Coturnix japonica: one gene and its partners. The protein of the gene in region 2 binds, or shares a complex with, the protein of the main gene of each other region. Links are inferred from orthologs where the notes say so. Each region holds a gene or a part of one and is shown on either strand. Other genes may lie near its edges. The genes, in order: EFTUD2, ARMC7, SNRPD1, RBMX2, spliceosome-associated protein CWC27 homolog, SNIP1 and SF3B5.

Evidence for each region.
Region 1: ARMC7 (region 2) and EFTUD2 share a complex: the UniProt entries of both Homo sapiens proteins name them as parts of the minor spliceosome. The link is inferred for Coturnix japonica from reciprocal best matches to the Homo sapiens genes ARMC7 and EFTUD2.
Region 3: ARMC7 (region 2) and SNRPD1 share a complex: the UniProt entries of both Homo sapiens proteins name them as parts of the minor spliceosome. The link is inferred for Coturnix japonica from reciprocal best matches to the Homo sapiens genes ARMC7 and SNRPD1.
Region 4: ARMC7 (region 2) and RBMX2 share a complex: the UniProt entries of both Homo sapiens proteins name them as parts of the minor spliceosome. The link is inferred for Coturnix japonica from reciprocal best matches to the Homo sapiens genes ARMC7 and RBMX2.
Region 5: ARMC7 (region 2) and spliceosome-associated protein CWC27 homolog share a complex: the UniProt entries of both Homo sapiens proteins name them as parts of the minor spliceosome. The link is inferred for Coturnix japonica from reciprocal best matches to the Homo sapiens genes ARMC7 and CWC27.
Region 6: ARMC7 (region 2) and SNIP1 share a complex: the UniProt entries of both Homo sapiens proteins name them as parts of the minor spliceosome. The link is inferred for Coturnix japonica from reciprocal best matches to the Homo sapiens genes ARMC7 and SNIP1.
Region 7: ARMC7 (region 2) and SF3B5 share a complex: the UniProt entries of both Homo sapiens proteins name them as parts of the minor spliceosome. The link is inferred for Coturnix japonica from reciprocal best matches to the Homo sapiens genes ARMC7 and SF3B5.

The regions. Positions count from the first base shown.
Region 1 is NC_029542.1:776,053-780,469, forward strand, and holds the start of EFTUD2 (116 kDa U5 small nuclear ribonucleoprotein component), read right to left. Parts: upstream 2,898-4,417; 5' UTR 2,760-2,897; intron 2,286-2,759; 5' UTR 2,285-2,285; coding exon 2,180-2,284; intron 1,937-2,179; coding exon 1,771-1,936; intron 1,609-1,770; coding exon 1,530-1,608; intron 320-1,529; coding exon 244-319; intron 1-243. Other genes in the region: CCDC103 (coiled-coil domain-containing protein 103), read left to right, coding at 3,327-3,469, 4,380-4,417. UniProt on the Homo sapiens protein: Required for pre-mRNA splicing as component of the spliceosome, including pre-catalytic, catalytic and post-catalytic spliceosomal complexes. Component of the U5 snRNP and the U4/U6-U5 tri-snRNP complex, a building block of the spliceosome.
Region 2 is NC_029533.1:9,330,554-9,334,498, forward strand, and holds ARMC7 (armadillo repeat-containing protein 7), read left to right. Parts: upstream 1-1,501; 5' UTR 1,502-1,624; coding exon 1,625-1,691; intron 1,692-1,769; coding exon 1,770-1,913; intron 1,914-2,374; coding exon 2,375-2,712; 3' UTR 2,713-3,344; downstream 3,345-3,945. UniProt on the Homo sapiens protein: As a component of the minor spliceosome, involved in the splicing of U12-type introns in pre-mRNAs.
Region 3 is NC_029517.1:39,382,146-39,386,352, reverse strand, and holds the start of SNRPD1 (small nuclear ribonucleoprotein Sm D1), read left to right. Parts: upstream 1-1,407; 5' UTR 1,408-1,584; coding exon 1,585-1,598; intron 1,599-2,150; coding exon 2,151-2,227; intron 2,228-3,316; coding exon 3,317-3,508; intron 3,509-4,207. UniProt on the Homo sapiens protein: Plays a role in pre-mRNA splicing as a core component of the spliceosomal U1, U2, U4 and U5 small nuclear ribonucleoproteins (snRNPs), the building blocks of the spliceosome.
Region 4 is NC_029519.1:1,522,287-1,526,450, reverse strand, and holds RBMX2 (RNA-binding motif protein, X-linked 2), read left to right. Parts: upstream 1-1,306; 5' UTR 1,307-1,355; coding exon 1,356-1,360; intron 1,361-1,442; coding exon 1,443-1,558; intron 1,559-1,706; coding exon 1,707-1,758; intron 1,759-1,836; coding exon 1,837-1,966; intron 1,967-2,088; coding exon 2,089-2,269; intron 2,270-2,683; coding exon 2,684-3,129; 3' UTR 3,130-3,637; downstream 3,638-4,164. Other genes in the region: RAB33A (ras-related protein Rab-33A), read left to right, coding at 773-1,228; SLC25A14 (brain mitochondrial carrier protein 1), read left to right, coding at 3,947-4,010. UniProt on the Homo sapiens protein: Involved in pre-mRNA splicing as component of the activated spliceosome. As a component of the minor spliceosome, involved in the splicing of U12-type introns in pre-mRNAs.
Region 5 is NC_029547.1:21,428,619-21,432,028, forward strand, and holds the end of spliceosome-associated protein CWC27 homolog, read left to right. Parts: intron 1-1,653; coding exon 1,654-1,829; intron 1,830-2,282; coding exon 2,283-2,547; 3' UTR 2,548-2,692; downstream 2,693-3,410. UniProt on the Homo sapiens protein: As part of the spliceosome, plays a role in pre-mRNA splicing. Probable inactive PPIase with no peptidyl-prolyl cis-trans isomerase activity. As a component of the minor spliceosome, involved in the splicing of U12-type introns in pre-mRNAs.
Region 6 is NC_029538.1:3,338,210-3,342,655, reverse strand, and holds the start of SNIP1 (smad nuclear-interacting protein 1), read right to left. Parts: upstream 2,839-4,446; 5' UTR 2,815-2,838; coding exon 2,663-2,814; intron 2,581-2,662; coding exon 2,484-2,580; intron 1,628-2,483; coding exon 1,044-1,627; intron 383-1,043; coding exon 118-382; 3' UTR 1-117. Other genes in the region: DNALI1 (axonemal dynein light intermediate polypeptide 1), read left to right, coding at 2,969-3,049, 4,050-4,186, 4,269-4,438. UniProt on the Homo sapiens protein: Required for pre-mRNA splicing as component of the spliceosome. As a component of the minor spliceosome, involved in the splicing of U12-type introns in pre-mRNAs. Down-regulates NF-kappa-B signaling by competing with RELA for CREBBP/EP300 binding.
Region 7 is NC_029518.1:41,251,654-41,254,182, reverse strand, and holds SF3B5 (splicing factor 3B subunit 5), read left to right. Parts: upstream 1-1,443; 5' UTR 1,444-1,496; coding exon 1,497-1,757; 3' UTR 1,758-1,979; downstream 1,980-2,529. UniProt on the Homo sapiens protein: Component of the 17S U2 SnRNP complex of the spliceosome, a large ribonucleoprotein complex that removes introns from transcribed pre-mRNAs.

The DNA of each region.
Region 1 (4,417 bases), on a different chromosome or scaffold from region 2:
GAGATGGGACTTTGTTCAAAGAGATAAACAGCAGCATAATCCCAGCCCTCCCACGGGGCGCATAGAAAAAGGGGGTACAGAAATACTTCCACATGACGGAGAGAAAAGCCAGGAATAACTGCAGAGCAACAGGAGCAGGAGAGAAGGCTGCTGCAGGGATTGGGGGGTCAAAAGAGCAGCAGTCAAAGTAAGGAACAGGGAGATCGTTACTGCTACCCAACGCACGTGGGATATTCACACTACCTTGCCGTGGTGAAGGTGCCCACACAGAGTCACATTCCGAATCAGCTCGGAGTTGTCCATCAGATCTGCCAGGAAACTGGAGGGATGAAGCACAAAAGACTGTTGGAGGCTTCTGCTGTGTCTAAGAAAAGTAGGCGCCGCTTTGCACCCAAGGGCCCCTCTGAATCCTCTCCAAACTTTCATGCCCTGCGGAGGAAGAATCCCACTCTGCAGATGGGGAGGACAAGAGAGTTGGAGTCCTGGACAGATGGCAGTGGGTGGGAGGAGACGGAGTTGGTAAAACTGCAAGAGATTAAATACTCCGAACGCCTTTCTTCTCTTCTAGACAGTATTAGAGCAACTCGGAGGAGGAAACGCTTCCGCTCCAATGGTGGCAGGTAGTCAACCAAACCACAGAGGTGGATAACAACACCCCACACACTTTTAAAAGGTAACCACAGGGTTCCACAGACTATTAATTCTAACTTGCAGGTCTTAATTCTGGTTTTCAGGTCTTAAAACACTGATGTTCCCAGGGACCCAAGGAACAGTCATAGAACTTAAATGGTTTTTAATCACCAACGAGATGGGACTGATGGGCTGGTCACTTCTGCAGAGATCCCAGCCAAAATGGAACTGAGAGCCTAAATTAGCAGCTACTCTTCAAAATAATGGGAAGCTATCAGCCAAGGATCGATTATTATGGATCTGCGGATAGTAAGTCCGGTCAAATAATCTCCTTCTTCAAAAACACTTTAATTTTCACTTATGAAGCAGGCTTTTTAGCATACAACATTTTGATTAAGAGCTTAAAAAACACAGAAATCGATAGGAATACAAATTAAATGCTTGCCTATTGGTCTTAAACCAAGGCTAAATGTGAAATCAATAGCGAGCTTGCAGGTTTCTGGTTAAGTCCCACTGGGACTTCTGCGTGGTCCCATCCAAACCATTGACATCAAGGAAGAGCAGGAGTTAGAATTAATTACTGATGGAGTAAACAGAGGACAAAGGGATCAGAAAAATAATAGGAAATGCACCGTGTTGCCTACGAGGATGGCAAAATAGCTGTAAAATAGCTGGCCTTGTGCTTTTCTTCCTCTTCTTTTTGGTTCAGACTCAGGGAGCCAGCTGTACTTGCTTATATTGCTGCTGTTAGTAAGAACAAACCCAGTGCCCCCCTGTAAGCTCCCGCCTCCATATAGATCACCCCTCTGCCTCCCCACCCTGCCTGTAAGCAATGAGAAGTGAGGAAATTGCAGCACAGATGGCCTGAAACAAAGCTTCAAACTCTGCACATCACTTACTCCATCTCATAGACAGTGACTGGTAACGTCTGTTCCATCAAAGAGAACTTCTTGGTTTTCACAGGTTTAATAATAGGCTCTGAAAACAAAAGAAAGAACAATAAAACACTGTTATGGGTGACCTGAACCCAGCACCTCCAAACATCGAATGGGGATTTTCCGCAGACAAAAAACACAGCTTTGAATTGACAGATTCTCTTCCTATGGGGGGACCAAATGAGATGATTTAAACCCCACTCACCAGTGAGAGGCTGCGTGTCCTCCTCCTGCACTATGGTCTCCACTTCAGGCCCATAGACCTCCTCAGCAGTGGGGTAATACTTCTTGTCCTCATGCAGCACCACCTCCATCCCAGGGTGGTCCTCATCGTGGTCCCCCATATCATCATCATCGTCGTCATCCTCGAGCTGCAACCAACACTCACACTGAGCTGCTGCCAGCACCAAAGTGTTTCATAAGCCTGAACTGTGGCTGGAGGTAAATCTTGGTGTCACACATCAGGAGGAACAGGGAACTGACAGCACAAAGGGCACGCTCCATCCTGCAGAGCCTTCCCTGCAATGGGAGCCAGGCACGGGGCAGGACATGCTTAACACCTGCTGTGTGTGGCTGCACAGCACAGAACAGCCCTGCCACAGCCACGCACTCACCTCATCCAGGTCCTTGGACTCCCGGCCCAACTCATCATCCTCGTCATCAGAGTCCAGCTCTGGCCCGATGTAGTTCCCAAACTCATCATACAGGTCAGTATCCATGCTGGGGGTGAAGAGATGGGGTCAGAGCCGGGAGAACCCCTGGAACTACAACCCAGCCTCAATCCCAGCCCCAGAACCTGACCAAGATCCAGATCCAGCCTCAGTCCCAGAGCCCAAACCGGCCCCATATCCAGAATGGGTCCCACATCCAGAACCTGCCTCACAGCCAGACCCGGCCCCACGGACAGACCCGGCCCCACGGACAGACCCGGCCCCACGGACAGAACCGGCCCCACGGACAGAACCGGCCCCACGGACAGAACCGGTCTCAATACCAGAACATGCCTCACAGAACCTGTCCCCGGTCCTAAGCCCTAAGCCCCAAGGCCCAGGCCCCGGCTCCAGCCCTTAGCCCTGATTTCTTGGCCTCACCCCCTATTCCCTCCCCTTACCCCATACCCCATACCCCATACCCCATACCCCATACCCCATACCCCTGCCCCATATCCCGCCCCACACCCCCCCACTCACTCACCCTCACGTTCCCCGCTCACTCTCCGCCGTTGGCGCCGCCGACAGCGCAGCGGAAGGACCCGGGCTGCCCATGGCGCCTGTCCCGGGCGGTTCGACAGCGGCGCTGCTGCCGGCGCGGTTCAGTCAGGCGCGCCGCGGGCAGCCTCGTTGGGTCCTGAAGGCGGCCCTGTCTCCATGACAACGGGAGTAGCGGGCGCGGCGGGCGGAGCTGGGCCCTGTCGCGATAGGAATTGAGGCTGCCGGGTCAGCGGGGCTCGTGGGCGGGGCCTGTCGCGATAGGAATGAGGGTGAGCGGCCCAGTGAGGGACCCAGCGGGGGATATCGCGACAGGAATCCCTCGGGGTGCTGTGTGTCGGCATGGCGGCCTATCGCGACATGAGGGGTCGGCTGCGAGCCATTATGGCAGCAGGGCCCACGCTGCCGCTGAGGTGATACCTCAGTGGGTATCGCTGTCACAACAGGAGCCTTATCCTTATCCGTATCCTTATCCGTATCCTTATCCTTATCCTTATCCTTATCCGTATCCCCACAGCTTGTCGCGCTCCTGTCGTGACTGTCGCGACAGCCGATGGACGCGGGCGGAGCTGTGGACATGGCGGCGCTGCGGGAGGAGCTGCGGGCCGCGCTGGAGGCCGACGAGAGGCACGAGAGGGAGAATAACGCCAAGCTCCGCGCCGTGAGGCAGCGCCTGGGGTCGTACCAGGAGTTCAGGTGGGAGCGGAGCCCCCCAGGTCTGTCAGACGCTGGGCCTTCCCGCAGGGCTCCTCCTGCTCTGCTGCTGGGCCTCCCCGGGGCAGGAGCCATCGCCTGCCCTGCCTTGGATGTCCCAGGGCTCCTGAATGGCAGCAGGAAGATCCTTGAGGGCAGGTGGTGCGGGACGCCCCCAGTGTCCTCCACCTCAGCCCCATCCCCTCACATCCACAGAGAGATCTGTAGATACATCCAGGACTTGACCAACACATGGCAGGCTCATCCCATGCTGGAGCATGTAGTGCTGGAAGCCTCATTCTGCCTTAATGTGGTCGTGCTGTCAGCTCTGAGTAAAGGGAAACCTTTAAAATGGCATTTATGGCATTGCTTGTCCGTGTAAAAGGACTCTGTGCCGCAGTTCTGTTGTTAGAATATGATCAAAAAACACATTCCTGCTCAGTACACAAGTACTCAGTACTCAAGCCTGCAATGTGGTGTGATATCAGCAGCCAGGAGCCATCCACAGGAGAGCAGAACAGCTTCTCTCCGTGGGTGCAGTTTCCCCACTCACGAGGGCCAGCAGAGCCCTGACCCCATTGGAAGATCTCGTTACTGGGAGGACTAACGAGCGACAGGCACAGACGTTCATCCCACGGGATGAGAAGAATGACATGAGCTGCTGAGTCCAGGCTGCTGCAATTAGTTACAGACGTCGGTGTAATGGGATGGCTGAGTAAGAAGGCCTATAAGAATGGAAGAGTTCTCCTGTGGAAGCCCCAAAGATATAAAATCTTACTTGTACCCCAGGAAAAACGCAGGAGAAAGAGGAGTCCTGCCAGTCCTTGGGCCCTGACTGCTGCAGGAACTGTTGGGTAGAAATGCCAATTCCATCACCCGTGTGTTTCACCTTGTGTCCTCTTGTTCCCTGCAGGGACATCGTGCTGGCATCACACCTGAGGCCTCTAGAGA
Region 2 (3,945 bases):
CTACAGACAGTGGAATAACCCCGGACTTAATGACTGACAAACACTAATGCTGCAGCCAGGTTACAAACCTCTGACAGCCAGCAGAGCAACAGGAAATGTCAGGAGACAAATAACCCTCACCCAGTCCCCTCACACTCTTTCCTGCTCCCTCTGTCATTAAATGTATCGTTAACTTTGCGAGCTAAACATATTTTGCAACAAGCACCTTTTCCTACTGCTATGAAACATTCACCAGGAAGTTCATTTGAAATATTGCAAAACTGTGAACCTTATAAGACTCAGATAGTCTGCCAGGGTAAATCTTGGAAAACTTTAATTAAAAACAAAACAAACAACAAACAAACCCAAAAGGTCACGGCAAACTTACGTACTCTAAAACACCTCAGAACTGCAAAATCACTCAAATGAAGAGTTTGGCAAAATTTGCAGACCCAGTCAGTAACTGCAAGAAAAGAAACACACCCACCAGAACCTGAAATTGACCAAATTCTAACTCTGTTGAGATATCAATGGGCACCACTGTCATTAGACTACCCCTAAGGCTGTTAATACCACAGCTATGCTCAGGCAGCCTGTGCAACATGGACAAAATATGGCCCACATCACCCGCACAAACAGCCTGAGCCAGCACTGCTGCCAAGAGATGGTTGTGTACGACCAGGAAAACTTCCTGCAGCATTGCAGCACACGGTGATGATCAGATGCACTCAGTCATGTAAGCAGCACGAGCACAGCCTGCAGCCCTTACAGAACATCTCTGCAGACCACAGACCTGGGAATGTTACCAAACTCTATGGGACAGCTCAAATTAAATGCACAATGTTCCTCACATCCGTTAACCAGCCTGGATTAGACTCAAAACAAGATAGAATCTAGAAGCAGCAGAGCACGCAGCTCGCAGTGAGGTGAGCAGCAGCGCTGCAGTGTGACCCGCAGGGTGCAGCTCTCGGGGATGCACCACCCGACCAGCACGGGCTGTTCCTAAACGCTGCTCGCAGTGAAATCACTGCAGGGGACAAAGTTCCCATTGGTTTTGTGCTTGCAAAATCCTACTGACTGCCCACACACACACACGGTACCTGGGAACTCAGCGCTGCATTTTCCTCCTCCAATGCAACGCGCTCCTCCCCTTATTGCTCAGTCCCACTGTCCTCAAACACTTCTGTCGGTTTGCTTCTCCTTGTTTGCTTTCTCTTCTCTGCCCTTCTCACACCAGCCCCGCTCTGGTCCATATTAGTAATGACAGATGTCGCTTCAAGTGCACTAACACAGTTACAGGCACGAGAAGCACACGCGGGGGTGTAAATTCTGAGGCCTGGGGGGCAAGCAACCAGGTGGCAGGGAAAGGTGAAGAACTGTGCAGAACAAAGGGGGGAAACGATAAAAACACGTGTTTGCCAGATACAGAGTGCAGCAGTGATATGTGCCTTCACTTATTGACGCACATGAGCTGCCCACAGCCCGCCCCGCACGCGGAGCGCAGCCAGCAGCCGCACCGCCCACAACATGGCGGCCGGGGAGTAACGCCCACAACATGGCGGCCGCCGGTGTCCGGAGCGCCCCGTTGTGCCCCGTGCCGGCGGCGCGGTCCAGCTGATCGGCTGGTTCTGGTTCTCAGCTCGGGATGGAGCTGGGCAGGTTGGAGTACCTGCAGGCCCTCGTCACGGAGTTCCAGGTGACAGACAGCCCAGGTAACCCCGCGTACAAAAGCGAAATCTCCATCTACCACAGCCCCCCTTGCCCCGTTTGACGCGTTGCTTCCCCGGCAGAGGCCAGGCGGCAGGTGCTGGCCAACCTGGCCAACTTCGCCTACGACCCCAAGAACTACGAGTATCTGCGGCAGCTCCAGGTGCTGGACCTGTTCCTCGACATGCTGACGGAGGACGACGAGACCCTGGTGGAATTCGCTATGGGTGAGCACAGCGCTGGGTGCGCCCCGATGCTTTCCCTGTTTCTCTAAAACACAGGTAACAAACCGGGGAAAATGAAAATAAACGCTGCAGCCACACGGCGCCATAAATGCCATCACTGCACTGAGATGGACAGGAGAAAATAAAAGGCAACGTAGGGCAATTAAAAACCCATCATTTAATTCCTGGTACCTTGAAGACCGATTGCCCCCTTACCACACAGGGAAACTGTCTGTGCATGTTGCCTTAAGAAAAGTAGTAAAGATGGAGTGTCCGTCTGCGGACAACTCAGTGCCGGCACCACACAGGTCAGGGCCCAACTGCTGGTACCAACAGACGGAACGTGCTCCAGCTGCTGCCATTCATTCCCAGATGAGGTGCCCTTCAGAGCATGGAGTGTGTCCGGATGAGGCTGCAGAAAGAATCTGTCTTGCATGTGTCAGATGCTTTTTTCGCTATTTCAGGTGGTCTTTGCAACCTGTGCTTGGATAAAACTAACAAAGACTATATCCTGGAGGCCAATGGGGTAGAGCCCATAATAAACTGCCTCTCCAGCTCCAACGAAGAGACAGTCATGTCAGCAGTCACAGCCCTGATGTATCTGACAACGCCGCAGTCGTGCCAGCAGACCACAGCTCTCCCGGTGGTGGAATGCATGCTTCGCTTCTCCCTGTCGGCCAGCAGAAGGCTGAGCAATCTGGCCACGATCTTCCTGGAGGATTATTGCACGCCCCTGCAGGTGGAAGAGGCCAGGAACCTGAGCAAACACACAGCGGTGGGGATTCCTCTCCCGAAGGATTGAAGCTGTCAGAGCAGCTTGGAGCTGCTGCGAGGAGCACCCCCTGTTTGCTCAGGTCTGCACCTAATGCTGAGTAGGTCAAGAGTGTGATGAGAACAGTAAAGCAGGAAATCAGACTAGCATTGGATTTTAGTTAGTATTGAAAAGGACCATACAGCACTATAACAGGCCAAGAACGTGGCTGAAAATGGAAGCAAATATTTTAAATAAAAAAGGTGATGGCTGCTGTGCAGCTCTGAACCAGCTTACAGGTATAACCCTTATAGCAGTTACTTTCTCTGCTCGGGTTATTGTTCAGCTTGTATCACTTCCAGTTCCTGGCTGATTTTGCCACAGCTTTCCAGTGTCAACTCAGATGACTTTGAAATGACCCAAACTTCATCCCTCCTGCAGAAGAAATGCGTTTCCCTGCCCTGGTAATTTGCAATCCTATTACATACCTTTGGTACTATACATACTGTCTTATCATCCTGCCCTAGAACAGGTGATAGCTATCCCATAGGTCAGGAAGCAGAAAGCTGTATTTCCCTCATTACCACTGGTGAGAAAGGTGCAGGTAGGAAAAGGGTTTATGGCATTCAGGTTCACAAGAAAAGCCTTTTCTTAATAAAACATTAACGGAGCTGTTGTGTAAACAGTTCTGTGTAAGCTCGTAAATGTTCCTGTACAGCTCTTGCAGCGCAGCCTCTGCTGCTCCCACTAATGCACGTGGGCTGGGAGTTGGAGCCACTTTGCTCTCCTTTTATGATCAGCCAATCGTGCAAAAGGTAACCTGGAGCCAGGGCGGCAAACTGCCCAAAGGCATAGAACGGGGTGGCCCTTTACCACGGTGCTTCTGAAAGGCTGCGAGTTCCAGAGTTCTGCTTTCTCCCCCTCCACTCAGCTCAAAACACGCCATAGTGAGCTTACACCACAGCTGGCTGTTTGTCTTTATAGTTATTCTTCATAACATCACTGCGGCTCCGGCCGCACCAGGACGAGGCACCGTGAGGTGAACCCCGCAACCCCCGCATGAAGCCGAGCGGCCCCTGGCGGCACCACGGCCCCGAGTGGAACCTCCGGCCACAAGCGGGTGGAACTGCCGGCCTGGCCTTAGTGCGGGGCCAGGCGGCTCCGCTGTGCGCTGCGGGAACCTTCATCGGACGGCTGGGCGCGCTCCAACTGCACTCAGTGTTTAGGAGCTGTAGCCTGCTCCGCTGCTCGCTTCTTTCATAAAGCAGATGTTGGACACTTCAC
Region 3 (4,207 bases), on a different chromosome or scaffold from region 2:
AGCTCTTGAAAATACAGGTTTGGGTTTTTTTTTCTTTTCTTTCAATGGATGTAAATGAAATCAAAGAATGTAAAACTCCTTGCAGGGTTTATCAAACCTTCCTTATGCTAAAGGCCCAAAGTTCTCCATCACTTTAAGAATGGTTGCAATGCAAAGGTGAATTTGGTATTGTTTTTGCTAGTCAGCTGCTTCTGTTCTTGATGTTGTTGGAATAACTCACAAAAAAAAGGAGTATGGATCAGAGGAGGAGGTGTCACCCTAATGCCATGTTGCACTTGGGAGCAGCTTCTTGCTTTTCATGCATGATGTAACACACTTTAAAAGGAAAGGTTTTTTTCTTTAAAAAGCTACAAAATAACATGTGCTGGTTAACAATAAATGTGTGTCTTTAAATTTAGTGCTTCCAAGCTGTATAAAAAACAAGTAATCCTACTTGAGGACCAATTTTAAACTATTTTGTCACTTATTTTATATGGTTTGTTCAAAACCAGCCGTGAAACTTGCTTAAGGCGCTGCACATTGTTTAATATTTCCTGTAAGTACAGCTGTATATTCAGATTGCAGTTATAAAATGTAAATGGGGGGAGAAACGTGTAGAATCTTAGAGCTAGCACAGTTGTTGTTACTGAGGTTAGAACACAAAGCACTGATACTCCAGTGTTTCACTGTGTTGTGACTGAAACTGTGTACAGACTTTTGCAGTTATCTGTTCATTTTAACCTTGAATGTTGCTGGAGGCTTCTGGTTCTATGTGAGCATAACCTGCACATAAACATCAGTACTCACCATGCCTCTGTCTGCTTCTCGATGCTGTGCTGGGAATACCAATTGGTGGTTAACTGGAAACTCCTCTCTGACTTCATTTACCAGTGTCACCTCTGTCATAGACTCAAAGTGCAGGAACACCATAAACTCAGTATGTAATGGTTCTTACGGCTCTCGGGCAGCTGCCCTCTCAAACTTGGTTCTTTGCGGTTTGTTTAAAGCAAAACATAAAATAACAGATTTCATGTGGAAAAGAAGAGCTGTGGTGTGTGTGTAGGGATGGAGGGAGAGACGTGGGTTAACGTGGGTTCTCAGAGCTGGAGGGCAGCCAGATCTCAGTGCTTTACAAAAAGAGTCTGTATTGCAGAAATCACAACAGTGTACTCATCAATGATAATAAAAGGTCTGATTTTTCTAGATCCTGGCCGCTGCGTTTGTGTGCCTGAGCTCCTTATCAACTGCTTAACGTAGAAGCATCGCTGGTGCGGACTAGACTATTTGCACACAGCTACAGTGCTTAGATACGTATAATCCCGAGCCCACCATTCCAAAATGGCGGCAGCGCATCCCCTCAGTGCCCGCCCGCCCTCAGCCCCGCGCAGTCGCGCTGCGTCCCGCCCCTTCCGCCGCGCCGCTTCCGCCCATTGATCGCAGCCGGCGGCGGCCGCTCAATCTCTCGGGGCTCGGTGCGCTCGTTGGAGGCCGCGTTCCTGTCCGCCCGCGCTCGCGGCGCTTCCGCCGAGGCCTTTTCGTGCCCCCAGGGGCGGCCGCCGCTGCCCGCCGAAAGCCCCGCGGCCGCCGCGCCGTCCCGCCGGCGCAATGAAGCTCGTCAGGTGAGCGGATGGAGGCGGATCGCGGAGAGAGGCGGCGGGGAGCCCGCGCAGGCCGCCTCCCCCTCCCCACACACAGGCCGCCCGGCCTGTCGGGGCCTCGTTGCGGCCTGGGCTCTGCGGCGAGCGGCTGGGCCTGCGAGCGGGGCTGCCCGGGAAACCACCCCGGGGGGTTGGGGGCGGAGCCGGGTGGAAGCGCCTTCACGCGGTGCCGAGATCCAAAATGGCTGCTGCTTAGCTGGTGGTCAGAGAGCAGCCCGAGTTGGACGGGATGCACGAGGGATCCCGAACCCAACTCACGCAGGGCGCTCAAAACACAAACCCTGTGACTGGAAGCGTTGTCCCGACGCTGCTTGAGCCCGGTGCCACCGTTTCCAGCCCCTGGCAATTGGGCGCCGTTTGGGGCTTTGGCTTTGCCCCATGGAGCACCTTCAGTGCAGTTCATGGCAGCTGAGAACGTTTGCGTTAGGATGTACATCGATCGGTTCCCCGTATCAGCATGTGGTTGGACATAAGGCTTAGTGTGACAGCAAACACTCTGTGCTTAATTCCTAGGTTTCTGATGAAGCTGAGTCACGAGACTGTGACCATCGAGCTGAAGAACGGGACGCAGGTGCATGGCACCATCACAGGTACGGTGTGCCAGCAGCCTCCCAGGCTGATCTGAGCTGTGTGGGGTAAAGGAAACCGGTGCTGGCGTGGCTGGTGTAAGTGTGGTAATCTGAAATTACTGCAGCAGCATGCAGGCATTGTGAGACAGTGTCACTGCTGTATCAAAGGGCAGTGGTCATACAGCCTATCCACTTATGTTTCAGAACATTTTGGGGCTGGAACTTGAAGGTCCCTTCCAACTTAAACCGTTCTGTGATCTCATTGGTAAAGCTGCAGTACACTGTAGTTGCATCAAGAAGTCACCACTGAGTCACTGGCAGAGAGATATTTTTCTAACGGTAGCACAGATAAATGGTAAATGCTGAACATGGTTACAATCTACTGAGATGTAAGGGTTAAAAGCACGTTATTTTGCAGCCAGATCCGTCCATTTTGTTAGAAGCTGGCTGTGGTGGCAGCACTCTGTGCCTCCTACCCTTGTACTCTCACAGCCTTCGCTGTTGAGCAAAGTCTCTCTCATGCTGTGCTAAGAACCTGTAAAACCCTGCAGTGCCATCCATGGTTCTAAAATGACAGTCATCCCTGTACATGGGTGTACGAAGCCTGTTGCAGCCACGGTGCCACCTGCAGTTGGTGCTTCTGATGCTGATGTTAGATGTGTTTGATCAGAAGATCATGGTTGTACTTAGAAGGAAACGCAGTGTTATTTTTCTACTCAAAAGTTCGTTTTCTTTCTTTTGAAAGGAGTAAAAAAGACAAATATTATGCTTTTGTAGTAAGTGGCAGTTTATTTGTTGTCCGGAGGAATCATTTTAAGTGTTTAGTGTTGCTATGACTTAAGACCTAGGAACAGATCCCTACAGCTGGTGGTAAGTGGCTCTTCCTTTGGAAATATATCAGTGTTGAGGGCAGCAGCTGATAAATCAGCATAATTAATAGAGGAAAAAAAGATGTAGTTTCTTCTTCCACTTAAGAGGCTTAATTAACAAATGGCACAGATCCAGAAGCGTGTGTTAGCAAAGTCTTGAAGCACGTGCACAGTTAATAATAGCCAAAGAGGAGTCATCCTGTGTGTTCCCACCCCTGAAATCAGCCTTGTGTTATTTCAGGAGTGGATGTCAGTATGAATACTCATCTCAAGGCTGTGAAAATGACGCTGAAGAACAGGGAGCCTGTACAGCTGGAGACATTGAGCATTCGGGGGAATAACATCCGATACTTCATCCTACCAGACAGTTTGCCCCTGGACACCTTGCTAGTAGATGTTGAACCAAAAGTCAAGTCCAAGAAAAGAGAAGCAGGTGAGTGCATGATTTCCCAGTCTCTGCTTGTTTTACTTTGTGTTTTCGTGCTCTCGCTCTGAAGGCATGTGATTGGAAATCTTAATTTCTGTATTGCTTTCATCTCTGAGGGTTTGTACCGAACTCTGCCTTGTGTACCTTCATTGTGTCTGTAGTCTCCTTTCATGAGAAGTTATTTACACAGCTTCTCATGCATCTGTTTTAAAGTGTAAACGTCTTTAAGTGTGAGTAAATCTTAACCTATGGCATTCTCAGAGGCAGCACCAATGGGATGCACAGTTTCTCTTTTCAAAATGTCTGCTCTGTTTCCCTGGTTTCTGTGTGTAACTTTGTATTTAGCCTAATAAGAAAATATAGAGCAGCCTCAGGAGCGGTGCTGGACTGAAATCTCACTTGGCAGTGGATACAAACAATCTGCTGGAGAACCGAATTGAAGGGGCTTCAGAATGCAGAGGGAGCTGAGGCTGTGTTCCTGTGGATAAAGCCCTTAAAGCCTAACAGAATAGGGAATGCTTCTGGTTTTGTTCTGCGCCGTTAACAATTAATATCCAGTAAACTCCACAAAGTTTGTGTCTTCAGGCAGTAAAAGTTTTGCCCAGCAGTGTTAATCAGTGTGTCTTTCCAGAAATAAGTTAAAGGTAATCGTGCTCTAAAGCAACTGCTTGCCATTTCTCCTGTAATTTATGCTTAATTATTTGG
Region 4 (4,164 bases), on a different chromosome or scaffold from region 2:
CCTTCCCTGTACTTCCTCTTTGTACCTCTTGGTATTTTTGCTTGACTTCCTCTTTGTTCACATGGGCAGCTCAGAGGTGGAGGCACATCAGTATTGGGTAGCTTTCTTTGGTCCCATTTTCCTATAGGTCCTTGACCCACAGGACTCTTTCAGAGCCACCTCTTGGTTAATGAGTTGGCTTTACCTTCACAGCTGCCCTGCTGAAGCTGGCCCAGCGTAGCAGCTTCCCTCGCTGGCTCTTCTATCACTTGAGTTTTGAAGTTGGAATCTCACGCTTTAAGCTGTGCTGTGTTGCCCCTCCAGCATACACTGGAATGGCTGAAGGCCTCCAGAAGGGCCTAAGCCTGCAAACATGAGACTCCCATCTGTCTGCAGAGGGCACCTTCCATTTACTCTCCCTGATCAGGCTGGAGCTGCACACTGCCCTGTCTCCATGGCTCTCGGCTCTTTAATCCTTATTGTTTGCCTGGTTCCTCCCCCAGACAGAGCTCCATGCAGGAACGCCGCTCTCTTTGCCCTGCCTCCTTTGTGGATACAGAGCATCATTTCAGTGTCCTCATACAGCACAGCATTAGGTGGGTTGGTGTGTTAGTCTGTTCTGACACGAGCAGTGCTGTGTGCAGTTTGACAGGGATGATGGCTGGGTACACCAACATGGGGCAGGTAAGTCACCGGGCTGGGGCCTTTCACCCCTGTAGCACAGCAATGAGCAGAGCAGCAGCACAGCATCCTGCAGCAGCAATGGCTGCTCACGCCGTGTTGTGCCCCATAGGTGCAGGTGTGGGACACGGCCGGGCAGGAGCGGTTCCGGAAGAGCATGGTGGAGCACTACTACCGCAACGTGCACGCCGTGGTCTTCGTGTACGACGTCACCAAGATGGCGTCCTTCACCAACCTCAAGATGTGGATCGAGGAGTGCAACGTTCACGCCGTGTCCCCCCTGGTCCCCAAAGTGCTGGTGGGGAACAAGTGTGACTTGAAGGACCTGATCCAGGTGCCGTCCGGCATGGCTCTCAAATTCGCCGACGCTCACAACATGCTGTTGTTCGAAACCTCGGCCAAGGACCCTAAAGAGAGCCAGAACGTGGAGTCCATCTTCATGTGCCTGGCCTGCCGGCTCAAGGCGCAGAAGTCGCTGCTCTATCGCGACATGGAGAAGCGGCCGGGCCGGGCGCAGAAGCTAGAGCCGTCACGTGACGCCCACGGTAAAAGCGCGTGTCCGTGCTGAGCGCCGACCAATAAAGCTGTGCGGAGCCCTCGGACTCGTTGCTTTGCTTGGCGCGCATGCGCGGCCGGGGCGGGGGCGGAGGCGGGGGGGTAAGGGGGGCGCATGCGCAGTGCGCGCCGCCGCCGCCATGAAGTAGGTTTGGATGGGGGCTGGGTGAGGGGGGGGTGTGCGACCGGCCGGTGCTAACGGTGCTAACGGAGTGCATCGCCCCCAGCCCGCTGACCAAAGTGAAGCTGATCAACGAGCTGAACGCGCGGGAGGCGGAGCTGGGCGTGAGCGAGGCGGTGTCGTGGCACGCCGAGTACAAGGACAGCGCGTGGGTCTTCATCGGTACGTGTAGGCCGCGATGGGGGGACGGGGAGGGAGGAGAGAGCAGGGCTGTGGTAGGCCCTGTGCTGGGCTCCGTGCTGGGCTCCATGCTGGGCTCCGTGCTGGGCTCCGTGCTGGGCCTCCATCGCTGCCCTGTCTCCCCCCGCAGGCGGGCTGCCCTACCAGCTGACAGAGGGGGACGTCATCTGTGTGTTCTCGCAGTAAGTTCCTACCTGCTCCATCCCCATCTTGCTGTGCCCCTCCAGCCCTGCTCTGTGGCTGCTGATGGTGTGTTCCAGGTACGGGGAGGTGGTGAACATTAATCTGGTGCGGGATAAGAAGACTGGGAAGTCCAAAGGGTTTTGCTTTTTGTGCTATGAGGATCAGAGGAGCACCGTGCTTGCTGTTGATAACTTCAATGGGATCAAGGTGAGTGATGGAGCTGTGTGGCTGCAGCAGCTCCTGGAGCGCTCAGAGCACATCAGAGAGAAGCTCCATCGGCTGCTGGCCCCACAGCACACGCTTTGCTGACTACCTGACTCCTGTCCTAGATCAAAGGCAGGACGATCCGAGTGGACCACGTGGCCAACTACCGGACTCCCAAGGACTCCGATGATTTAGATGATGTCACAAAAGCCCTCCATGCAAAGGGCTGCGGAGTGAAAACACCACCTCATACGTCGTCAGATTCCTCCTTGGAGGATGAAGACACGCCAGCCCAAAAGCAAAAAGGTGAAATGCATTTCTGCCCATCTTTGCCCTGGGTGGGAGGATCTGTGTGGGCTACAGGGACTCTTAGCTCAGCGTACAGCAGGGATAGGGATCCTCTTGAAAACAGATGCAACCCGAATGTCCAGGCTTATCCTCTGTGATCTGCGTCACACTGCCAGTATTTATCTATGATCATTCACCCCCTGCCTCTGGAGATCCTTATTTTGCAGGTTATAGTGGCACTCTTCCTGGAGAAAAGGAGTTGGGCTGGGCTGCAGGGATGTTGCAAGGGGGAGGGGGCAGGACAGTGGGGGACAGGGAGAAGAAAGGCTCCAATAAAGCCTTTCTCTACAGAGCTCTGGTGCTCTGTAGCAGAACTGGTGGGGATGATGCTTGCAGGACTGTCCATCTCTAAGGATGACCTTTTTGTTTCAGATAAAGAGAAGAATAAACATGAACGGCAAAAGCAGAGCTCTCAGGCTGCAAAGAGAGCAGCACCTGCCGAAGAGGCACATCCGAGAATCAAGATTAAAAAGGAGAAGGAAGATCCTGGCTACGAGCGATATGCTGCTGGTGGGGGTCAGCAGTCCTGCAGTGAGTCTGAGAGGAAACACGTGAGCAGGACGCAGCGAGATGAGGAAGAGCAGAGACACCAAAGGTCGTCGGGGAGGAGAGGGGAAAAGAGCTCCCAGGAACACAGAGGGCAGAACAGCTCACGGGAAGAGAGAGGAGAGGTCAGCAGGAAGGGTGAGGGACACAGCAGCTGGCGAGAAGAGTGTTCTGAGGGAAGCAGATCCAGGCACCGGCGGGAGAGCAGCAGCAGAGAGCCCCATTCCAAGCACAGGGAGCGTGGATCCACCAGAGATTCCAGCCGTCACTGAGCCCTGGAGTGAGCACCTTCTGGGCCACAGCTGTGCTCTGTGAGCTGCACCGGGAGCCTGTCTGAAGCCTCCTGCTATGGCCCTAAGGGTACCACAGCTGTGTCTCGTCTCACACACACCACTCTGACCGGTTCACTCCTCAGACAGGTTGCTCTCAGTGCTGTGGGCTGTGATGTGGGCTCTGCTGCTGCCTTGCTCGGCCCTTCTGTGCAGTGGCATCACTCAGACGGTTGTGGAGGGGCTCACGGCACAGTGTGGGCAGTGGGGTGCTGAGCAGCAGGATACGGACACCGAAACTGCCCACGTTGTTCAGGGGGAGCGTCCCTGTCTGCAGTGGGGCGGTGGGTGCTTGCAGGCGGGCACGGTGCTTTGTGCCCCCAGCCCGTCCTGCTTCCTTTGTTTATGTGATGGATATCAGAGGCTGCTGAGCCATCGCAGTTCATGGCGTTTTTTGTTTTAAACTCCTTTTAATAAAAATCGATCCTTTAACCAGAGGAGATGACTGGGAGCACTGCTTGTGTCCGGTTGTGCTGTTTGGACTGAGCATTGATGGCAGCTGACACAGAAATGGGGAGCGCACAGCAGTGGATCTGAGCTGCGCTTTGCTCTCGGGGTGGTTCCGGTCGGTCCCGTGCCTGCAGCGCTCTCCCGTCTCCTCCCCGCCGTTCTCGGGCGGTGCCGCTGGATCCCAATTGCGGGCCGAGCTGCCGGGTCCGCCCGGCTGGGGGGCGCAGTGCTTCCCGTTCCGCCGCGCTTCCGGTTCCGGGTGGAGTTGAGGCAGTGTCCGGCCCGGCGCGGCGGCGCGCCCCGCCATGCCATGTCCGCGCTGAACTGGAAACCCTTCGTGTACGGCGGGCTCGCCTCCATCGTGGCCGAGTTCGGTGAGCTGCGGCGGGTACCGGCGGGTACCGGCGGGTATCGGCGGGTACCGGCGGGTACCGGCGGGTATCGGCGGGTATCGGCGGGTACCGGCGGGTACCGGCGGGTATCGGCGGGTATCGGCGGGTACCGGCGGGTACCGGCGGGTATCGGCGG
Region 5 (3,410 bases), on a different chromosome or scaffold from region 2:
AATGGTTTGGCTTGGACAGGGCCTTTAAGGTCATCTCATTCTAACTTCCTGCTATAGGCAGGGACACCTCCCTCTAGAACAGGCTGCTCAGAGCCCCATCCAGCCTGGCTTTAAATGCTTTCAGGGAGGGGGTGTTCACAATTTGTCTGGGCAGCTGTTCCAGTGTCTTACTACCCTTACAGTAAAGAGTCGCTTCTTAATATCTAGTCCAAATCTGCCTTCTTCCTGTTTGAAGCCATTTCCCTCCATCCTGTCACTACATGCCTTATAAAAAATCCCTTTCCAGCTTTCCCTTAGGACCACTTCAGGAGCTGGAAGGCTGTTATAATGTTTCCTCAGGGCCTTCTCTACTCCAGGCTGAAGAGCTCCAAACTCCCTCAGCTGTCCTTAGAAAGGAGGTGCTTCAGCCTTCTGATGATCTTTGTGGCCTTCCTCTGGACCCACTCCAACAGCTCCATGTCCTTGTGTTGGGGACCTCAGAACTGGACACAGTACTTCAGGTGGGATCTCACAAGAGCAGAGGGGCAGAATCACCTCCCTCGACCTGCTGGTCCCTGTTCTCTTGACGTAGTGCAGGATACCATTGGCCTTCTGGGCTTGTCATGGAGTTATCTAGATCAATCTATGTCCATGGCGGGGGGGCTGCAGTCCCGTGGGACCCCTGGCCCCTGAAAAATTGGAAGTGAAAAGGGAAAGGGGTAGGGAGATGGGTGCTTGGCTCAAGGAAATAGATGGAGCATCAGCAATGATCTAAGGAGGAAAACTTATTTTACTGTGATATTGGAAAGCAAGATAACACAATATAATACAATCCAATTGAAATTCTGGCTAATAAATTAAGTAAAATAAGAGACAAAGAGAGTTTTCCAAAGAACGAGGAGCCTACTTTGAGATTGAAGGCTCCACGGCTTGGAAGCATGCCCACATCCACTGCCAGTCAGTGAGGGAGAGAGCCTGTGTCCCTTCTGTGACGTTTCCCTCTCTGACCTTGAGGTCCTCTGGGACGTGTAGTTCTTCTAGTTCTTCTCTGTGTGCCACATGATGTGGAATCCCAATAGCAAAAATTACAAAACCATAACAGGCTGCAAGAGCACATTTCTGGCTCATGTTGAGTATTTCATCAACCAACACCCACAAGTCCTTTTCCAGAGAGCTGCTTTCAAGCTGTTTTCTGCCCAATCTGTATCTGTGCCTATGGCAGGTGGGATGTCATGAGGGCAGAGTGAAAGGGGGACAGTCACCTCCCTCTTCTATCTGGCCACCCTTATGTTGATGCAGCCTAAGATACAGTTGGCTTTCTGAGTTTCTGGTTTTCTTTTAAGGGAAGATTAATTAAGTGTTTAGTATATTGCCTTGAACAGCTTTTGGCTCCATGAACAATAATAAAACTATTAACATATTGTCATGAGACCTTCTGCATACCTTTAAGGGCTTAAAGTCTGACTGTTTTCATTTTATTTTTTAAGTGATACAAAAACATTCTTGAAATTTTTCTTTGAAGTAATTGTAATAATTGTGGATTTTGCTTGTTAGTTTCTTTGTCTGTTGTGGTAAAGGATTGTTTTTGTGAGTTGTTGTTTCCATATTCAAAACTCTGTAGTTAAAAAGCAGAAAAAAAACCTAAGGAATTTTTTTCATATCCTATCAATAAAGGAGGAAGATGAAAATGATGAAGATGTTGACAGCGTAGAAGGTGAAGCTGCTAGCAATGAGAGATTTCAAATGAAAGAACGCATTGCAAAAAAGTTGAAAATTGATACAAGTGAAACTGTTAAACCTCCCCTTCAAGAGCAAGAGACTAAGATGGAAAAGAAAACCACCAGTCGCAGGTAAGTATCATGCATTATTTTTCTCCTTCACCTTACAGTTATTTGCTGTTCAATTCCAGTTTTGCACTTACTGCTTTTTTTTTTTTAGTACTGCATCAAATTTATCAGCCTCCCTCAACCATAAAAGATGAAACTGCCTGTTGGTTTCTCAGTTCTAAGCTTCATTTGATAGTTTAGACTTGAATCTAGTTATTGGTAAAAGAGGGAGAGAAAACCTCTGGACCAGACAAAAAAAGATCAGTGTTAAATATCCTTATTGTAGGATGGAAAGGAGGGGTCAGAAATAAAGGAGATATCCAAGGAAAGCTTTTTTCTGAAAAAGGGTTGTTAAGTACATGGAAGCCAAACATCTTTACAATAGCAAAAGACATTGTGTTCTGCATGTGCTCTATACAGCATTGACGTTGCCATACATCATGGATACAGTGTTCAGTTTTGCACCCCTCTCTACAGGAAAGACATTAAGACCTTGGAGCGTGTCCAGAGAATGGCAACAAAGCTGGTGAGGTGTTTAAAGCATGGGTTTTATGAGGAGCAACTGAGAAAACTGGAATTAGTTTGTGGAAGAGGAGTCTTAGGGGGGACCTTACAACTCACTACAACTATCTGGAACTGTGGCGAAGTGGCATTTGGCCACTTTTCTCAGGGAACTTGTGATAGGATGAGAAATAATGGCTTTAAGTTATACCAGGTGAGGTTCAGGGTGGGTATTATGTAAAATTTATTTTCTGAAGAAGTGGTGATGTAACAGGCTGCCCAGGAGAACAGGTGAGTCACCATCCCAGGAGGTTCTCAGGAAAAAGGTAGATGTTGCACTGAGGGACATGGTCTAGAGTGATCACAGGCATGAGCTGATGGTTGGACTAGATGATCTTAGTGTTCTTTCCAACCTTAATGATTCTAAGATTTGCATGTGTTCAATGGCCTGCCAACCAATCTGCTTAACTACTTGTTGGGTTTTGCAGGAATGGCTACTAGATCCAAACTTGTGTAACATGTAGTTGCAGGATCTCAGTATGAGGTTGACATAAAGCTTGAGCATACTATTAGGAGTGCTTGCATTATACTTCTTCACATTTCATAGATAATTGTGTAAGCAGTCTGTGAGCTGCTGTCTCTTCCTGTGCAAGTTGTGCGAGTTGTGTTTGTGGTTATTGTAGTAGTATTATAGCCAAATGGAGTATCTTGACTTTTAAGTGAGATTTATTGGATACATTCTTAGTGATTGAGAGTGGTAACCCTGGGAGTACTGTGTAGTACTACAGGTTACACCAGTTTCTAGAATCTGTTGTTTTCCAAATGACCAGGCATCCTGTGGCATGTAAATTAAAAGCCTAGGTTGTTTGATACAAAGAAGGTGCTAGTAACATTGCCTTTGATGAGATAATCAGCCGGTTATCAAGTTTCATTGTTTAGAGTAGTGGCCTTTTTTTAAGTATAGCAGGGGCAATTGATAGTATTCTCTTGGGACTTCACCTGCCACTATTGTACAAGTGTGTGTGACAGAGGAAACGGATGAGGTATGACACAAAGGGTTTGATCCACCCTACTTATCTTGGAGAGGCATGTCTGGTTAAATAT
Region 6 (4,446 bases), on a different chromosome or scaffold from region 2:
TTTAAGGCAATAAGAAGCACCAGTGCTTTGATGCTCCAACATCTCCATCCCAATGCATGTTTTATTGTAAAAGATTCCTCTCCCCTGCTCCCCCATCCCCAATTGCCTTCATGTCTGTTAACTATCGGACTCTTCCTCCTTCTCCTCTTCCTCATCATCGTCCTTTGCGTTGGCCTCTGATTTATCAGATGATTCATGGAGAAGGACGTACTCCCTGCTGCTGAAGCCAAACTTCAATACATCCTTTTCTTTCAGTTCGTAGTAACGTTGAGGCTCAATCCTCTGGTTGTTTAGAAAAGTACCATTGCCAGAACCAAGATCAATGATATACGGCTTTACCCTGCGGCCAACTGTGCCATCAGCGCGTGTGTGCTCCACAAGCCTAGAAAACAAAAACAACCCATCAAGTCAATGATAACACATGGATTTTTCAACACATCAGCCCCACTGTTGTAAATACTTAACCATACTTCAAAGATCTGAGCAAGTACAATGAGAATAATTAGACAGGGCACGGAAATACTCAAGATTCTGACAGACTGCTTCACCCCTTAAAGTTATGATCATATAACATAGTAAATCCTGAAGCAGAACAGATGGTTGTTCCTTAAGAGAGCAGCTCTGCCTCCTGAAGCACACAACCCTGCTGTTTATAAAGGAGATCGGCAGCCTTTGTTGGGAAGGAACAAATGAAAAACCCTCCTTTAAACGTTCTTTATTGCCAATCCCACCTGCTAATAACTCCAATTCAGATATACAGGCAGTTCTGTATTTCATCCTGTTGTGTTGTGTTTCTTACTAAAAGTCTAGATATGGTTAAACCAAAAGGAATTATATATATGTTAAGAGTCACGAGGCTGCTTATGGTTAAACAAAAAGGAATTACATATATGTTACATCCATACCTAAATTCCACCTATCTAAAACCATTGAGCAAACATGCATTTTCTAATCTGTGCACATCCAATACGTTCTTTGATTCCCTTTGCACGCAAGCGACCAAATAATCCCCACCTACCAGAGGGATACAGAGCGATACTGACCGGTATTGGAACACAGCGTGTTGCTTTGAGCAGGAGGGATGATCAATGGGGATATCTGCTATCCTGCGGTGCCTGCCCAGGAGATAAGCACTCTGCCTATGAATGTACATGACAGGCAGGAACTCATCGTTTTTAAATGGATAGAGACGCCATCGTTTCTTTGGAATCCGAGCTTCTGGGGGCTCACTGTATTTAATCACAACGCCTCGGAAAGTGTTGGTATCCTCCAGAAGGGCACCAGACAGTTCAAAGCTTGGTTTTTCTTTGTTTACAGCTTTATCTTTTGGTTTGTTATCAGATTGTTTGTGTTCTGGATTCTGCTCAGCACCGCTCCCCTCGTTGTTCTGTCGATGCTCTCGTCTTCTTTCGTTATAGAACTCCCTCTCTGCTTGTTGCTCACGGATGTTCTGAACATCTCTTTCTCTCTCATGGCCTCGACCTCCAGGTCTTTCCTCCTTTTTCCTCCTGTCTGAGTGATCTCTGTGCCTGTCTCTGTCACCGCTTCTATCTCGTCTGTGTTCTTGCTCTGACGTGTGTCTCTGCTTTCTCTCTTCATTTCCTCTGTGAGGATGATCGTCTCGTTCCTGAGGAAGAAGACAGAAAACACATGAAAAACACAGACTGTAACATGGTACGTGTATATCTAGATTTATTTATTTCCTTCCAAAGTGAATTCCCACAACTTGGGCCCAACAATGCAAGGCTGACAGAGAGCAATGCATCATAACATCAGCCTTCAGGGTCAGCCTGCAGGCTGGGCTCACTTAAAGGCACAAATACTCATTTTCTTACAGGAATAACAGGGGCTGGGCTCACTAAAAGGTACAAACACTCAGTTCTTTCCAGGAAAACACGAAGCAGAGAGCAAGGAGATGTTACACTGTAAGACTCTCTCTTCCTTAAGAGTTATTCTAGAGGGATCAGGGGGCTGGAGCACCTCCCCTATGAGGACAGGCTGAGGGAGTTGGGTTTGTTCAGCCTAGAGAAGAGAAGGTTGCGGGGTGACCTCATTGCAGCCTTTCAATACCTGAAGGGAACTTACTCCCAGGAGGGGAGTAAACTCTTGGAAAGGGCTGACAATAGCAGGACACGGGGAAATGGTTTTAAGTTAAAAGAGGGAAGATTTGGGTTGGATGTTAGGGGGAAGTTCTTCACTAGGAGAGTGGTTAGGCCCTGAAACAGGCTGCACAGGGAGGTTGTGGATGCCCCGTCCTTGGAGGTGTTCAAGGCCAGGTTGGACGGGGCCATGGGCAACATGATCTATGGGGTGTCTTTGGGGATCTATGGGTTGTCTGTGGGGCTCTATGGGGTCTGCATGGGGTCTGTATGGGGTTCAGTGGGTCTCTATGGGGCTCTATGGGGTGTCTATGGGATCTCTGTGGGGATCTGTGGGGTCTCTATGGGGATCTGTGGGGCCTGGCCTCTCCCAACGCCATTTACCTGCTTTACCCTCACACCTCCATGGTGCGGACTCCTGCTCCTCCTCCCCCGCGGTGATTTGCTCCTCCGGCCGGATTTACTCTTCCTTTTAGGCGACCTTTAAATCAAGTACACAAGAAATGCACAGAACCTCAGGGTTACGATACAGGGCCGTAATAAGGCCCTATGAGGCCTCCTACCTGCTGCTCCTGCCCCGTCGCTCCTCAATGGGGGGGGATTGGCTCCCATAAGCCGAACGGGACCCGCAGCTCCGTGGGCTGCGCTTCTCGGCCTTCACCGCCATCTCCCCCCTCCTTCTCTCCCTCCTCCTCCTCTCACTCTCAGCCTCCATCTTGCTACCGACTCCCCCCACAACCGGAATTACGTTTTCACATCCGTGTTACCTCTCTCTCAACCACCCGGAACTACATCTTTACCTAACGCTCATGCGCCTTTAGAACAAACAACGGAGCGGCGTTTATAACCATAGCGACCGAGGAGCCGCCATGATCCCACCGCCCGATTCGCTGCTGCGTTATAACCCGCCCATGCTGGTGAGTCGCCGTACTGAGAAGCGATCACCAGAGGTGAGTGAATATGAACCGATATTATGGCCCATGAAGGCCAAAGGAATCCTATATTGTATCAAAACCAGTGTTACTAGCAGCAACAGGGAGGTAATTGTCCCCCTGTGTTCAGTTTTGGGCACCTCACTGCAAGAAAGACATTGAGAATACATTCAGAAAAGGGTTATGAAGCTGGTGAGGGGTCTGGAGCATAATGGGGACTTATAAGAAGAAGCTGAGGGAGATGGGGTTGTTCAGCCTGAAGAAGAGGCTCAGGGGAGACCTTATAGCCCTCTATAACTCCCTTAGTTAGAAGTTAGAAGGGAGGTTGTAGTGAGCCTCTAATCCATGATAGAAGTAGAGGGAATGGTTTTAAGCTGTGTCAGGGGAGAGTCACGCTGGATATTAGGAAGTATTGCTTCTCAGGAAGGGTAGTCAGGCATTATAATGCACTGCCCAAAGAGGTGGTGGAGTCACTGACCATGGGAGTGTTCAAGAAACATCTGGATGTTGTGTTGATGAATATGATTTAGCTGGGAAGTATTGGGAATGGTTGGACTAGATGATCTTCTAGGTCACAGAATGACCCGGGTTGGAAGGGACCTCAAGGATCATGTAGTTCCAACCCCCCTGCCAAGCAGGGCCACCAAACATACACATTTACTAGATCAGGTTGCCCAGGAGACCCCATAGAGACCCCATAGATCCCCCATAGATCCCCATAGATCCCCATAGAGACCCCATAGATCCTCATAGAGACCCCATAGACCCCCATAGAGACCCCATAGATCCCCATAGAGACCCCATAGATCAGGTTGCCCATGGCCCCGTCCAACCTGGCCTTGTACACCTCCAAGGACGGGGCATCCACAACCTCCCTGGGCAGCCTGTTCCAGGGCCTCACCACTCTCCTAGTGAAGTCTTTTCCAACCTTGATAATTCTGTGTTTCTGTGATTCTGAATGGGACGGGGGGAGCCCTCACACCTCACCCATCCTGCTCACACCGCTTTCTCCCTTCAGGCCTCACCGTTGAAGGGAACCCCACAGGCCTCCCCGCCATCAGGCCCTGTCCCTCCGTCCCGACCTCGCACTGCTGCCGCCTCCGCCGCCTCCACGAAGGAACCTCAGGAGATCCTGAACGCCATCCTACCGCCGCGGTGAGCCGGGGAGGGGGGAACAACAAGAGCCTTAACTCAGGACCGCCCCGCCGAGCTCCATCGCTGCTGCTTTCCGGTGCAGGTCATGGGAGGAGGATAACCGGCTGTGGGTGCAGGAGGTGTCCAGTGTTCCCAGCACCCGGCTGGACGTCGTGCAGCTGCAGGAGCAGCTGGATCTGAAGCTGCAACAGCGGCAGGCGAGGGAGACCGGCATCTGTCCTGTGAGAAGGGAGCTGTACTCGCAGTGCTTCGGTCAGTGG
Region 7 (2,529 bases), on a different chromosome or scaffold from region 2:
AGAAGCAACAAAGTTCAGAAGAAATGTCATTTCCCACATAAATACGTTAATTTATTGTCCTTATTTAATTTCTCTCACAAGAGATCTTCATTCATTTTAGGCTACCACAACTTCCAACAATTTTTTTGCACTATTGTACTTGCAGAATAAATGAATATGGTTAAGAATAGAGGAATTTCTTAAATATATATATATGTATATATATATATATAAATGACACCCTTCATTTCATCACCTGTGTGGGCTTTTATTGCAGTTATCGTTTAAAGTAATCCTTTCCCCTTTTTGGAGGGGCAGCTATGTCTTTTTCATTCAAAGAGCCTACAGGAAACGTGAAAACACGGCTATACCTTGAAGGGGACAGTCACTACCACCCTCTATTGGTGCATCTGCCTCATCTACTCTGTTCCTTTTGATCTTGCAGCAGAAACCCACAGCTCCCGTGCAATGAGTACGGAGTCGGTACAGCTCTGACACCCAGCGGCCACTTCACTCTCGACCGGCTCCTGAATTCCAGACAGTTTCAAACTCGGCTTTGACTGATTGTTGCTTAGAAGATAGATAGTTTAGGGTATTATATTGTTTTATTGTTTTGACACTGCTTTGCATGGCCTTGGCTTCATAAGATGCTCATTTATGAAGAAGCGGCCTTGAATCATCTGGATTAGATTTCCGTGGGTTTCTTTGGACTATACAGCATTTACAAAGAAATAGCTTGAAGCATCCTCTCAGAAAATTGCTGGCTACGTGTCTTTCCTATTTAAAAGCAAATAATTAAAGTCAGCACTCCCATGTGACAGCATGTATTGTTCCACACTTATTAAATTTAACATGGATTTTAAAACTAGAGAAGAAAAACTGCTTATTTGATGAATAATAGAATGTATTTCATTCCCAACTTTGACCAAGTTTGATAGGTGATACAAATTATAATTTACAAGTTTTATATCTGATTATTCTATGATCAAGAAAGACTACTTATTTGATGAATCATAGAATGTATTTCAGTCCCAACGTTGACCAAGTTTGATAGGTGATACTAATTATAAGTTTTCTATCTGCTCATGAGTTTAATATCCACATGAAATATTACCCACATCAACAAAAGAAAAATAATTTCCAATGGTAACATTTGATCCTAGCTTAAACATAGCCCTTGTGCCTGCCCAGCTGCAAAGTTTGCCTTTGCCCACAGAATCATTAAGGTTGGAAAAGACCACTAAGGTCAAGTCCATCCATCAGCCCATCCCTGCTGTATCACTATGTCCCTCAGTGCCACGTTCAATTGGCTCTTGGACACCTCCATGGTCCAACATGTCCAATCTAGGACTACACCCCCCGACATGCCTTTATAAACCCGCATATTCTTCCCCCCCCCCCCCCTCATCCGGGATAGTCGGCGAAATCCCCCCCGCTCTCCGTTATGGGAGCGGAAAAGGATCCCTTCGTCCTGTGGCGTCATTTCCTGCCGCCATTTGACTTGCAGGGGCAGCGCCATGACGGACCGCTACACCATCCACAGCCAGTTGGAGCACCTCCAGTCCAAGTACATCGGGACGGGCCACGCCGATACCACCAAGTGGGAGTGGCTGGTCAACCAGCACCGCGACTCGTACTGCTCCTACATGGGCCACTTCGACCTGCTCAACTACTTCGCCATCGCCGAGAATGAGAGCAAGGCTCGCGTCCGCTTCAACCTGATGGAGAAGATGCTGCAGCCGTGCGGGCCGCCCGCCGACAAGCCCGACGAATCCTAACCCGTTGCCCTGCACACCGGCTCCGGGCTGGCTGTGACTCCACACGCCGCGGGGAGATGGTGGGAGCCGCCCCGATCCTCGTGTCCACCGAAGGGAGCTGCAGGGAGAAGGAAGCTCTGTGTAACGCCCTCTCTTGGACACTTTCGTTACGCTCAGTTGCACGGCTGTTCGCCCTTTGTGGTTTTTTTTTAATGGGAAATAAAATCCGCTGTCTGTTTCTAACGTGTTGTGTGGTAATCAACAATAGCAGGACACGGGGAAATGGTTTTAAGTTAAAAGAGGGAAGATTTAGGTTGGATGTTTGGGGGAAGTTTTATTCCTAATGGAAAATGTCAAAGTAAAGCCTGGCTAAGGTTGTATGTGAGTTTACCAGTGGCTTTTTTGAAGTTGGTGACCTCAGAATTTCTGAGCAATAAACGCCTCATACTCTTTACCAAGCCTTATAATCTAAGCTGCTGAAGATGCTGCAGTAAGAACAAGTGCATGCACTCCTGAGGTCACATTCAAGCCATAATATCCATCTGAAGAACTCAGGAATAGATTTTGTTGTTGCATGTACTACAATGAGGGCAAAGATGAAATGATCCTGAATCAAATGTAACCTGCTACATATGTGGGGACTAGTGCTGTTTGCAAGCCATTGTAAACAATGTGAGCAACAAGTGTAAGGCACATGGGCAGAGCTGAACGCCTCCTTCCTCCAGGCCATCTCTATTATATGAGCAAGGCTGCTTTCAGGGAGAAGTCTGAGTTTTGGCTGAGAAATTTGGCT